Caenorhabditis elegans: one gene and its partners. The protein of the gene in region 1 purifies or fractionates together with the protein of each later gene. This does not show direct contact. Each region holds a gene or a part of one and is shown on either strand. Other genes may lie near its edges. The genes, in order: agl-1, F29B9.1 and R12B2.3.

The links.
Region 2: the proteins of agl-1 (region 1) and F29B9.1 fractionate together in Caenorhabditis elegans (co-fractionation; one large-scale study listed by BioGRID). This does not show direct contact.
Region 3: the proteins of agl-1 (region 1) and R12B2.3 fractionate together in Caenorhabditis elegans (co-fractionation; one large-scale study listed by BioGRID). This does not show direct contact.

Annotation. Positions count from the first base shown.
Region 1 is NC_003280.10:14,355,958-14,359,710, forward strand, and holds the start of agl-1 (Glycogen debranching enzyme), read right to left. Parts: upstream 2,157-3,753; 5' UTR 2,006-2,156; intron 1,612-2,005; 5' UTR 1,574-1,611; coding exon 1,492-1,573; intron 1,446-1,491; coding exon 646-1,445; intron 601-645; coding exon 423-600; intron 352-422; coding exon 8-351; intron 1-7. Other genes in the region: pre-mRNA 3' end processing protein pfs-2, read left to right, coding at 2,530-2,778, 2,829-2,999, 3,064-3,159, 3,474-3,628, 3,677-3,753.
Region 2 is NC_003282.8:4,663,347-4,667,099, forward strand, and holds the start of F29B9.1 (Protein-lysine N-methyltransferase CELE_F29B9.1), read left to right. Parts: upstream 1-2,032; 5' UTR 2,033-2,077; coding exon 2,078-2,139; intron 2,140-2,196; coding exon 2,197-2,377; intron 2,378-2,423; coding exon 2,424-2,552; intron 2,553-3,018; coding exon 3,019-3,209; intron 3,210-3,745; coding exon 3,746-3,753. Other genes in the region: jmjd-1.2 (JmjC domain-containing protein), read left to right, coding at 1-6, 325-697, 752-1,489, 1,540-1,595.
Region 3 is NC_003281.10:5,803,476-5,807,228, reverse strand, and holds R12B2.3 (Ras-associating domain-containing protein), read right to left. Parts: upstream 1,657-3,753; 5' UTR 1,620-1,656; coding exon 1,615-1,619; intron 1,569-1,614; coding exon 1,475-1,568; intron 1,337-1,474; coding exon 1,001-1,336; intron 932-1,000; coding exon 858-931; intron 515-857; coding exon 436-514; intron 367-435; coding exon 292-366; 3' UTR 247-291; downstream 1-246. Other genes in the region: R12B2.2 (Golgin-45), read right to left, coding at 1-99; him-10 (Kinetochore protein Nuf2 homolog), read right to left, coding at 2,235-2,531, 2,579-2,636, 2,694-2,999, 3,056-3,607, 3,654-3,753.

The DNA of each region.
Region 1 (3,753 bases):
GACTTACCTGAGATTCTTTCAGCGCAAAATTCTTCATCGGATCACTGCTCATAACCCATCCATTAAAAGCCATTAAAAACTTTGACTTTTCTGGATCATATGCGAATTTCTCTTCTGATTTCCACCCGAGATCTGCCTCCAAATGCAGAAAATAATCAGTTGTCAACGGGTTTTCCGGAGATACAAGTCCCTTTTTCGGGCCGTTATCAGCAATTCGCTCATATGTGATTCCTCCCATCACTGCTGCCAAGCCGGCTAAAATCACTTCCCATGACTCGCGAGCGGCTTCGAGATTTTTGTTATTGAGGGCTTCTTCAAAGCTTCGAACGCATTTTTCCACTCGTTCTTCTTCTGAAAATTAAGGTAATGCCTTTTATATACATATATATAAAGCTGTTTTTTGCTGATTTATGCTTCAATACCTGACTTAGCATCTCCCCGGTGTCGATTGAAAATTCTAGCGGATCTCTCAAAGTCCACAGTGTTTCCGAATCTTCGACATTCTAAATCTTGTTCGATTTCTACATCTTCTCCGTCCAACGGGTTCGTTGTGGGACCACTAGATTGTTTGATGAACACCTCGAATAGGTTAACCATTGCCTGAAAATTGAATGTTTTTTCTTATAGTTAGAATGTTTTATTTACCTTCAAATCCACTTGATAAAACTCGTGAAGATCGGCCTTTGGCAAAACTTCTGCTCTCAGAAGATACTCGATTGCATTTACATGGTGAATATTGTCAACGACTGGTGGAACACCACGATGTTCCCACACACCTTCTCCAATCTGCTTTCCAAATTCGTGATACACTCTGTCAATTACATATGCTGGCCGAAGATGTGGACTATTCAAGCAGTTATAGGCAGACTCTGGATGCTCCAGAAGCCACGTGGCATTCTTTGCTGCGTGATTCCACACAACATCCTGTACTGTGAGTATGTTCCAGGACCGCTCAAGATCTCCCACGAGCGCTTGCACGTCTTCAAATCCGAACTTTTGATCCTGCGACTGGATGGTTTTAATCAAAGAATGATGATCACTGAGGGAATAGCTACTATTTGAGATTCCAAGCTCATGGATAGGAGTCAAATGGATCATGTTATATCCTGTCTGATGTGCAACTTCAAGTCGTTCTTTCCACTCGGAAAGCGGTCCTAGAAGCTTTGTGAGGTACGTTTGGCAAGCGATTCCATCGAGCGGCAGGCATTTTCCGTTGATCTTCAGCTCTGGCATCACCAAGAAGTATCCACTGCCTCGCTCTTCAGAATCCTCAATTTTAAACCAATATCTGAAGGATCCAGCTTCCTTGCATTCCACTTGACAGTAAACTGCCAAGTGGTCTTTTCCTTCAGACCATTCCAGAGAATTTCCAGGGCAAATAGAGGTGAAAACTTTAACTTTCTTTCCAAGAAGTGAAGAGCCGCGCTTGAATCGAACTATCCAACCTGAAAAAAGTTTAGATAAATATTTTTAATTTTATAAACAAAGAACCTTTCTCAATTTTTCTTATAACACTTTCCAAGTGCTCTCCATCTTCAAGAACAATGATTCGGATTTCTTTTTCTTCACCCATCGAGCGCTGGATTTAAAGTTTGTGGTCGTTGTATTGGCCTGAAGTTTCATTTTTAATAAACTCCAATTTAAAAAATAAATATAATAAAGAAAACTACGAAAAGCTGTTGGTGCGCGTGGTCTGAATATGAGGGCATTATGACCCAACAGAACAACATGTTTTTAGAGAAAATAGGTAGTCAAAGATGAAAAGTCAACAAAAACAATAAAAAATTTGTGATAAGAGATCGCTATCTTTTTGTCTTTTAATCAATGGGAATTAGAGAATGAGATTAAATCTTTCAAGGACGAATATTGATTTCTAAAAAACATAATGCTTGTTTTATTGAACTTTATCTATTCATGTAAAAGGAGGTAAAGATTTTAATATTTTTTATAGGTAAAAAATCCTCCAAGAACAGAACTGCGGAAACCCATAGTTTCCTCAACCAACCTATCGATTTTCTATATTTCGAGGGCCACCCGAACGCGTTGAGCCATCGAAAAGTGTAGCACATGGCAGCGCAACGTGACTTTCTTCATCGTTTTCTTCTTTTTCTCTCCTTATTTTTTCGATTTAAAAAACCGCGGCGTGCGTCAAGTGTGGTATTTTGTGTGCACTACGGCGTGGGGTATGTTGTTTGCGGACCAAGAAGATTTGAACGTGTTTTTTGTGTTGCTTCTCTGATTTTCTCAGCTGGAATTTATCGATTTTTTGATATTTTTTTATATTTTCAGACTTTATAAAATATTTGCTTTAATTAAAAATGAACAGAATATGTTGCTTCATCACCTTTTTTTCTAACTTTCAAGCTAAACTTAATGCTTTGGACTAAATAGTTGTATTTCTGAATTCCAGGCGAGTGCATCTGCCAATGAATTCGTAATAACACTAAGGATGACAGCCGTATCAAACATAGTTGGTTTTGTCCTTAATTGCTAAAAATCTAAATTTAAATTTTATCGGCGTCTTTCAACATGAACGGTGGAATGATGCGTGGCAATCAGATGCCGAATGTTACTCTAACAATTCAACCATCTACATCGTCAATGCAGAATTCTCAGCCGAGAATTATGAACAATCACCACCATCCGCATAATCGATTTCAAAGAGAACATGTGATGCCAGACGTGATGGGTGATGGTCCTGGACGGCGGTTGAGGAAGAATGTGGCAAACGTTAGAAGACATGTGGATTATGTTTCTACTGTATTGAACCATTGCGAGGTAGATATTTCATAAATAAAATTTCCTAGTTATTCTTGTAAATCGTTCAGAACCGACTTTGGCAATATGGCAAACAACGGATTCTTCAACAACCCGATATCTTATACCAACAATATGCCGTCCCTGCAGATTCAACTCCTGATGTTCCAGTGGATTGCATATTGACAAAGTTCATACGAACGGCCATGAATAAAGTCAAATGCCCGGTTTATAGTGTTTGCGTGAGTTTTTAATGCTGTTTTTGCACAATTTTAAAATTAAAATTGTATATATCTCAAATTTCAGTGGTCGCCAGAGGGTAAACGATTGATCACAGGATGCCAAACTGGCGAGTTCACACTGTGGAATGGCACAGCCTTCAATTTCGAGACGATTCTTCAGGTAAAGCACACAACCCGATGGATTACGATTTTGTATATTATGTTCACCTTTTTATGCTCAACCAATAAAGTATTCACATCGTTTCTAATGCGGCATTTCGCGGTATTTGATGTGAATAAAAGGTTTTCATTTGGCATTTTCTAAGTTTTGTGCACACAATCAGACGTGATAGTAGAAAAGTTTGAAAAAAAACGGACTTGTCGTTGAAATATTTATATATGCGCAAGAGTTCGAAAGTTCTAATCGCATAAAATTATAATTCATTTTTTGAGCTTTTGAGACAGAATCATGCTCAAAATAAAATAACTTTTTAGGCTCATGACTCTGCGATTCGGGCTCTAAAATGGGCATCCAACGAGCAATGGCTTTTAAGTGCGGATCAAGGTGGATATGTGAAATACTGGCAGCCGAACATGAACAACGCGCACATGTTTTCAGCACACAAGGATGAAGCCATCAGAGGTCTGGCGTAAGTTATGAGTTTGGTGACCTAAATAATTATTTGTTCAATTTATAGGTTTGCTCCAACCGATGTAAAGTTCGCGACAGCTTCCGACGACGGAACTGCTCGTGTCTGGGATTTTGCTCGCTACA
Region 2 (3,753 bases), on another chromosome or scaffold:
TTGAAGGTATAATTATTGAAGGAATATAAATGGTTCCGCGGATTGTGAACGTTCTGACCCCGCCAAAATGTTCTCAAATTAACGAATTTCGTTTGAAACTTCTGAAAAAATTCTCAATATTTTTTTGGTTTTTTTGGAGGTTCAAAATTAAAAAAAAAAGACTAAATTTGGCTAAAATCTCCTATTTTCCGAGATTTTAAAAGCATTTTTGAGAAGCCTCATCACGAAATTCGTTGATTTGAGCACATTTAGGATCGTAATGTTCGAAATACCCTTCTTTCAACTGAAATTGGTTTTCTCAAAGCTTATTAACTCTATTTTCAGGGCGAGAAAATCTTCTACATCGCCGCGCCAACGGAGCAGAACTTTGCAGCTTATCAAGCACACGAGACATCTCCGGACACCACTACATGGTTCGGTGACATTGCCAACGGAGCTGTTAAGCGAGTTGTGATCAAGGAAGGTCAGACACTGCTCATCCCGGCTGGTTGGATTCACGCGGTTCTCACTCCAGTCGATTCGCTCGTTTTTGGAGGAAACTTCTTGCATTTGGGAAATCTTGAGATGCAAATGCGCGTGTACCATCTCGAAAACGCGATTCGTAAGGAAATTAGAAGCGAGGAGAAGTTCTACTTTCCGAATTTCGAACTTCTTCATTGGATGTACATGCGAAACGTCTTGCTTGAGAAGATTACAGGTAAGCAATTTACTAGTTTGTATAGCGGTTTTACTAATATTCGCTACATTTCAGAAGCCAATCAGGAAGGTTCTGACATGCGTGAGCAGGAGAAGAATATTTGGACGGCGTCACAAATCATGAAGGCCGAAATGGAGCGCTGGATGGATCGAGAGTTGAGATTGGGTCCCGAGAAGAACGCGATCCTGCCCACTGACGACAAGAATAAGATTATGATCTCGGTGAGGAAGCAGATTGAGATTCAGACGAAGATTCAGAATGCCAAGAATAAGCCGATGGGGTTGAAGCAGAAACGTAAAAGTCGAGAATCCGCGGAGCGGGATGATGAGGACTATTGCCCGTCCAGCTCGACTGCCTACAAGAAGAAGTATACGAAAAAGGCTAAGAAGGACAATGATGATGCTCCGAAGGTGAAGAAGGCGAAGAAAGAGGAAGTTCCCGAGGAGAAGGTTCCGGTTCCTGAAGCAGCAGGTCCTTCCGAAGTTACAGCTCCATTGACCATCAAGATTGGAATGGGACCGACTGAAGATCAGAAGGGCGTTGTCCAGATATTCAATAATCAATGCACGTCGTCTGGAAGAAAAGTAAAGTTGAATCAGAACGTGGCCGACTATTGTGGATCCCATCTCGAAGCACGCGTCGAAGAGATTCCGGAAAAGGCGACGAAAAGCTTCCGCGAGCTTGACAACGAACTGGAGCGCTGTGAAGCTGTTCATTCCGGAGAGAAAATCAAGAAGGTTAAAGAGCCAAAGCCACCGAAGCAACCAAAAGAGAAAAAGGAGAAACCACCACGTAAGAAAAGATCGAAACCTTGAGAACTGTTTAATAATTTTTTTTTTCAGCAAAGAAAAAGGAAATGAGTTCCAGAGATCGCCTCATGAAGAAGCTCAAAATGTGAACGTCCTCTACCTCAAGATATGTGTGCACTTTGACGAAATATAAATCTCGTACAATTATAAAGTGCCCCCCGATCTTAATAGTAATTTCCCCGTATTTTTGACTAATTTTTACATTCGTTTTATTGTTTTATTCACACAATCCCATATTCTTTCACGCGGTTCTTTTGCATCCAAAAATTTGTACAAGACGATCTCCCGAATTTACTGACGGGGATTTTTTTGTAGTTTGAAAATACACACGCACAATAAAGCGTTGATTATGTTAATTTTTTTCCTTGATGTGAACATTGTTGAAAGTGAAATGCAAGAAAATATCTGCTTTTTAGACTTTAAACTTGGATTTCCTAGAAGAGATCTCTCTAGAGAGTGAACAGAGAATTAGAGAAACGAGGCAAATGCAAATGCAAAAAAAGCTCTATGGAACTACTTTTTTCAGATTTTGGAATTTATTATTTATTTTCGGGTTTTAAAATAGCTTGAAATGAGCGACATGAGCGAACAAAGTGTTGAAATTGCTTCTTCACAACTTGGAACCAAGGATTTGTAAGTAAAAATTCTAAAAATTTACATCTAGAGTTGGCTAAAACATTTTTATTTCAGCTGGGATCAACGATACGAGTTGGAACTTAAAAATTTCAAGCAACACGGAGATGAGGGAGAGGTGTGGTTCGGAACATCGTCTGAAACACGAATCGTAAAATATTTAATCGATTCGAAAACCGGCAAAGATGCAAAGATTCTTGATTTGGGATGTGGAAATGGATCGGTTTTGAGGAAATTGGTATGGATTTCGAGCTCAAAACCTCTGAAATTCAGTTTTTTTTCAGAGATCGAAAGGATTCCAGAGTCTGAAAGGTGTTGATTATTGTCAAAAAGCTGTTGATCTTTCTGCAGCCGCTTCGAAAGCTGAGCGAGAAGAGGAAGAAGACGAAGAATTAGTAGATATTGAATTTGAGGTGTAAATTTTTGAATTTTGCATCATTAAAAACGGAGAAGAGGTGTTTATTCATCTAAAACATAAATTTTTGCATAAATAACGAAAAAATAGCTAATTATTTTGAATTTCCGCGCAAATAAATTACCTAGTTCCGACATTTTCGCGTTTTCCGACTAATTTGATTGGTTTCTTTTGTAAAAACACCGTTTATCAATTTTCAGACATTTTCCCGGGAAGAAGGCCTGAAAAGCGCTAAGTTTACTTTAATTTATAATTTTTTTGCGGAAAACTTTCTAAAAATTGACAAGGGGTGTTTCAAAAGTTTAAGGAAAATATAAGAAAATCGAAGAAAACGCGAAATGTCGAAACTAGGTTATTAATTTGCTCGGGAATTTAAAATTAATTCACCAATTTGAATTTTTTCTGCAAACCGCCTTTAAATATTGTTTTTCTCGAAATTTCAAAGCAAAAACGTTTTCTTTCAGCAATTGGACATAACCACACCGCCAGCCGACTTTTTCTCCTCGAAATTCGATGTAATTCTCGATAAAGGCACATGGGACGCGATGAGCCTATCCGATGAACGAGAAGCTCGTCTGAAAGCCTACTTGGGTTTTCTTGATAATGGTCTGAGCGCTGGCGGTCGATTTGTGATATTCTCGTGTAATTTCACTTTGTAAGTAGGCCTAAAAAGGGCCTCGAAATGAAACTTCTAAATAGGTCACTCCAAAAAATTGAGCGGCATACGAGCACTTTGAAACTGAGAAAAGTTGATCTGAAACAGCTTCCAGACCATTTTTTTCCATTAAAAAGTTTATCAAAAATTTGCATTGTTTTTTGACCAAAAATTTTTTGACCAAAGTTTTCAGTTAAAAATTGTATTTTTTCAATTAGGGAGATTTAAAAAAGAAAATCAATTTAGATATTTCCAACAATTTTCCAAGGTTTCAGAAAAAATCGGAATTTTTTTTGACTGAACCAAATTTTTTGATTAAAAAAAGTCAGGATTTTTGAATTTTTTAAAAATCGTCTCAAATTGTTCATTAGATTCAAAAAAAATATTGAAAAAATGAGCTGAACCGAGTTCAGATCGATTTTTTCTAGTTCAAAGTTCTCGTATGCACCTAAATTTTTTGAAGTTACTCTTTCAAATGACATATGCAAGTTCAAATACTTCCATTGTAAGTCGAAATCAATTGTTTTCCTTTTCAGCGACGAGA
Region 3 (3,753 bases), on another chromosome or scaffold:
TCCATCTTCTTCTGCTCTTTTCGTAAAATGCACTTCCTCAAAATTTCCTTCAGATGCAAGTTGCAAATCATGAGCATGGTATAGATCTAGTAGATCCATTAAATATTTTAATTAATAAAAAGTCAGAGAATAGTATGAAGAAACAGGAGGGTGGAAAAGAGATGGTCAAGTCAATAAAAGGAGACGACGGCTGCTGGGTGGCCGGCTGTGGCTGATGGCCGACATTTTATTAAAAAATCTAACAAGTTTCGTTGCTCTTCAACTTTATTCAAATAATCAAATTTCAATATTTCATTTCGATTTAACGCCTTGATTGATCTCCGGTTCATTATCCACCAATTCAACACCATATTGAAGAATGAATATCTGGAAATGAGAGAGTGAAAAGAAAAAGAGACAGGACATTTCTATCGATTTTTCTTCTAGGTTATTCACCTTCACTTGCTCGGCAAGATTTTGAGCCGCCACATCGACTGTCGTATTCTTCGGAACTTTCAGAGCCAGCTTATTCTCACTGAAATGTTTTTTTGATTGGGTAACAATATGAGAAGTCTTTTCAAATATTTGATCAAAAAGGTAAGAGGAAATGGGTAAGATATCTTACTATTAGGATATATATTTGGAATTAATCTTAAAGTTGGATTAAAAGTATTAATAATTTTTATTTACACCCAAAAAGTGGAGTTTTTTCTTCTCACTAGTATTAGAAATCGGCCAAACAAACTTCTTCCAAACATCGGAGTTTGCGTCAAAGCAGAAAAAATAGGCTGTAGGTAGGCCAGAGGTAGCACCATACTTTGGAAGCCTAACCATTTCAAAAATTAATTCCAAAAAATCTAGATTTTTTAAAAACTTACTACGGTCCCGGATCCTTAACTTTGTTCAATGTCATTTGAGCAGATGTTGGTGCAATTGGGACTTTGACATTTTGCTGGAATAGAATAAAAATTAATGATTCAGATTATCCACTTGAATGGTGACAGGATCCACGAGATATTACCTTAACCGCCATTAAAGTCTCTCGATTCTTCCTCTCCTTCTTTGATCCACTATTCGGAGCGAAACCTCCGGTTTCACAAATCTTGCGTAGAGCACCGTATCGTCTCCAGGGATTGTTGGTGCTCCGCGAGCTTTGTTTTTTGAAAGTTGGAAGCTCTCCGTTTTGAAGGAATTCCGTCACAAGTTGGGTATTTGCCAAGATGACTGATTTGAATGCGACTTGATTTGGAGGCGGGGCCGATGTTTCCTTGTAAGTTTTATGAAGCAGAAGAATTGAAGATGTTGAGCTACCAAGGGAACGAGCATTTGGAAGAGATCGGGGTCCCAGATTTGAGAGCTTTTAAATATAATTTTATTTTAATTTCTTGCAGTTTAGTTTATGATTAGTTTATACACATGGAAAGCAATTAACTTCAAAGAGCGTTTCTTTTACATATATAAAACTAAAACATCATCATGTACTATGAATGCTCACCTGAGAGCACATCGAATGTACATCATCAGTGGAAGATCTTGTACCATTTGAATCATCTGGTCGAACTAATCTCTTACCCGAAAGGTCTAATGGTCTGAAAATTATAAAATCTGAAAAGAACATTATTTGAAAAAGCTTACTGCATAATTTGTAGAGTGAATTTTTCAGAAATACAATACAAAAATTGAGAAATGAACGAAAAATGTCAATGTTGAATGCAATAACTCGAGGCCCGCACGATTTATTTAAATTTATTTAGAATTTTGGTAGGATAATATTCAATTCAGAAGGACAATTCCAACTTGTAGAGCTAATGAGCGAAGAGAAGTTTAAAATTTCTGGAAAAGTTTTCATTTCAAGATAATTTTTTTTTCAAAAAACGTTTCAAAACTTCCGACTCTCACTTATTCCCTGTTTGAGCTTTCTCCAAAATAAGAAACCACGCCCACTTTTTGTCTTACTGTAGTCTTAAAGACGCAAACAAAAAAATACAAGGCAAAAAATTCAAAATTTCTAATTTTATTTTTAATTAAAAACAGAGGCACATAATCTCCCCGTAAATACCACTTGAGTGAATTCTTACCTGAAAAGTAAATTGGTGTGAAATTTCTAGAGCCTGGGAATGAAAAGAAAACATTTGAAAATAAAGACCACATGATTTATTTAGACTCAGTTAAAATTTTGTTATTGGTATGGAAGAAAGCATAACATTTACATTGAATAGAGATCAAATGAAGTGAAATTTTCGAGTTGAGTCATTCTATTTGAAAACGGAAAAACTCGAATCGTTAGGTTGTGGATCACAATTTTCCGTGTTCTCTCCGGCGTCGATTGTCGATGATCCGAATGTGTAATCACTCAGAAGGCGTCCGGTAAGAGAGCTTTTTAGACGTTCCATTTCACGTGCAGCTGCAGTGTTCTTCTCAAAAGCTACTTTCTGGGTTTCTTTGAACATTGCATTAAGTTTTGCGAATTTTGCAACAGCATCTTGGCAAGAGTTGGTGATTTGGGAAATCGTCTCACTGTGTGCGTTTTTTAGAGCGAGGAGTTCTTGCTTCTGAAAAAAATGTTGGTGAGTTTTATGAAGATTGATCTGACAAAAACCTTTTTAGCAATTTCCTGTGACACATCTGGCTGACTAGTTTTCAAATTTGCGATTTGCCTGAAAGATTTACATCGTTTAAAAAAATGTTTTCAAAGTATCAAATAAATTCCTCACTCGGTAATCTCCTCAATTCTACGCTGACGCTCTTCACTTTTCTGCGTGTGTTCTATACGCAATTGTTCATGAGTCTCCGACTGCTCGACGAGTCGCTTTTGTGCCGTTTCCATCTCCTTCATCATAAAATCCAATTGCTCCTCCATTTCCTTGAGCTTTCGAAGATTCTCACTTTCAACATCGATCAGGTCAATGATAACTTCTCGAACTTCAGTCCACTGATGGATCTTCTCAATAATCACTGGCACGTTCTTCTCCGAGTTGATGCAAATTTCACGAGCCTCGAGTTTTGCTTGAAGGCCTTTTCTGAAAATAATTACTTTTATTTTGAATTTTTGGAGAGACTGAAGATATATCAGTACTTTGATGATTCAAGACAATCGCGGAGCTCTTCAATGTGACGTTTCCTTTCCTCCATTTCTTGTTTCAGCTGTTCCGGCGATGTCAGAACTTCTTCATTCAAATGCTCAATTGTCTTTTTACCAGTTAGCATTTCCTTTTCGAGGGCTTGAATGTGCAGAATAGCTTCTTCTTTCTGCTTGTCGAGTTCTTCATTAATTTGACGAGTTTCGGTATATTCGTTCACAACATTTTTAAGTTCTGCCTTCGCATTGCTCTGTTCGTTGATTAATTCATGCTCATGACGTTTTCTTATGCTTTGTTTCGCGAGAAGATCATTTTTCTTCTTCTCGGCTTCTAACAACTCTTCCCGAATCTTTTCCATTTCGAACTTTCGATCACTGAACTCTTCGCTAATTTCATTGAACGCTGGAGTGGCCAATTCGTGAAGTTTCAGAAAATCTACAAGAAAACTTGTCAGCTTTCTGAATCGATGTTCGTGTTTTGCAGGTGTCACGAGATCGCACATCGTCAAGTCCAGCTTGTTGCCAGAATTATCTTTGATAAATGCTTTCCTGAAAAAATATTTCAGCAAATCTAACATTAAAATTAAAATCTTACATGCATTGGAAGAGAATAATGATAGGAATGCTCTTTTTATGCAATTCTGGATCATAATCACAGTTGGCGGACAGCGGAAGGGTCGTCAGCGAGCTTTCCG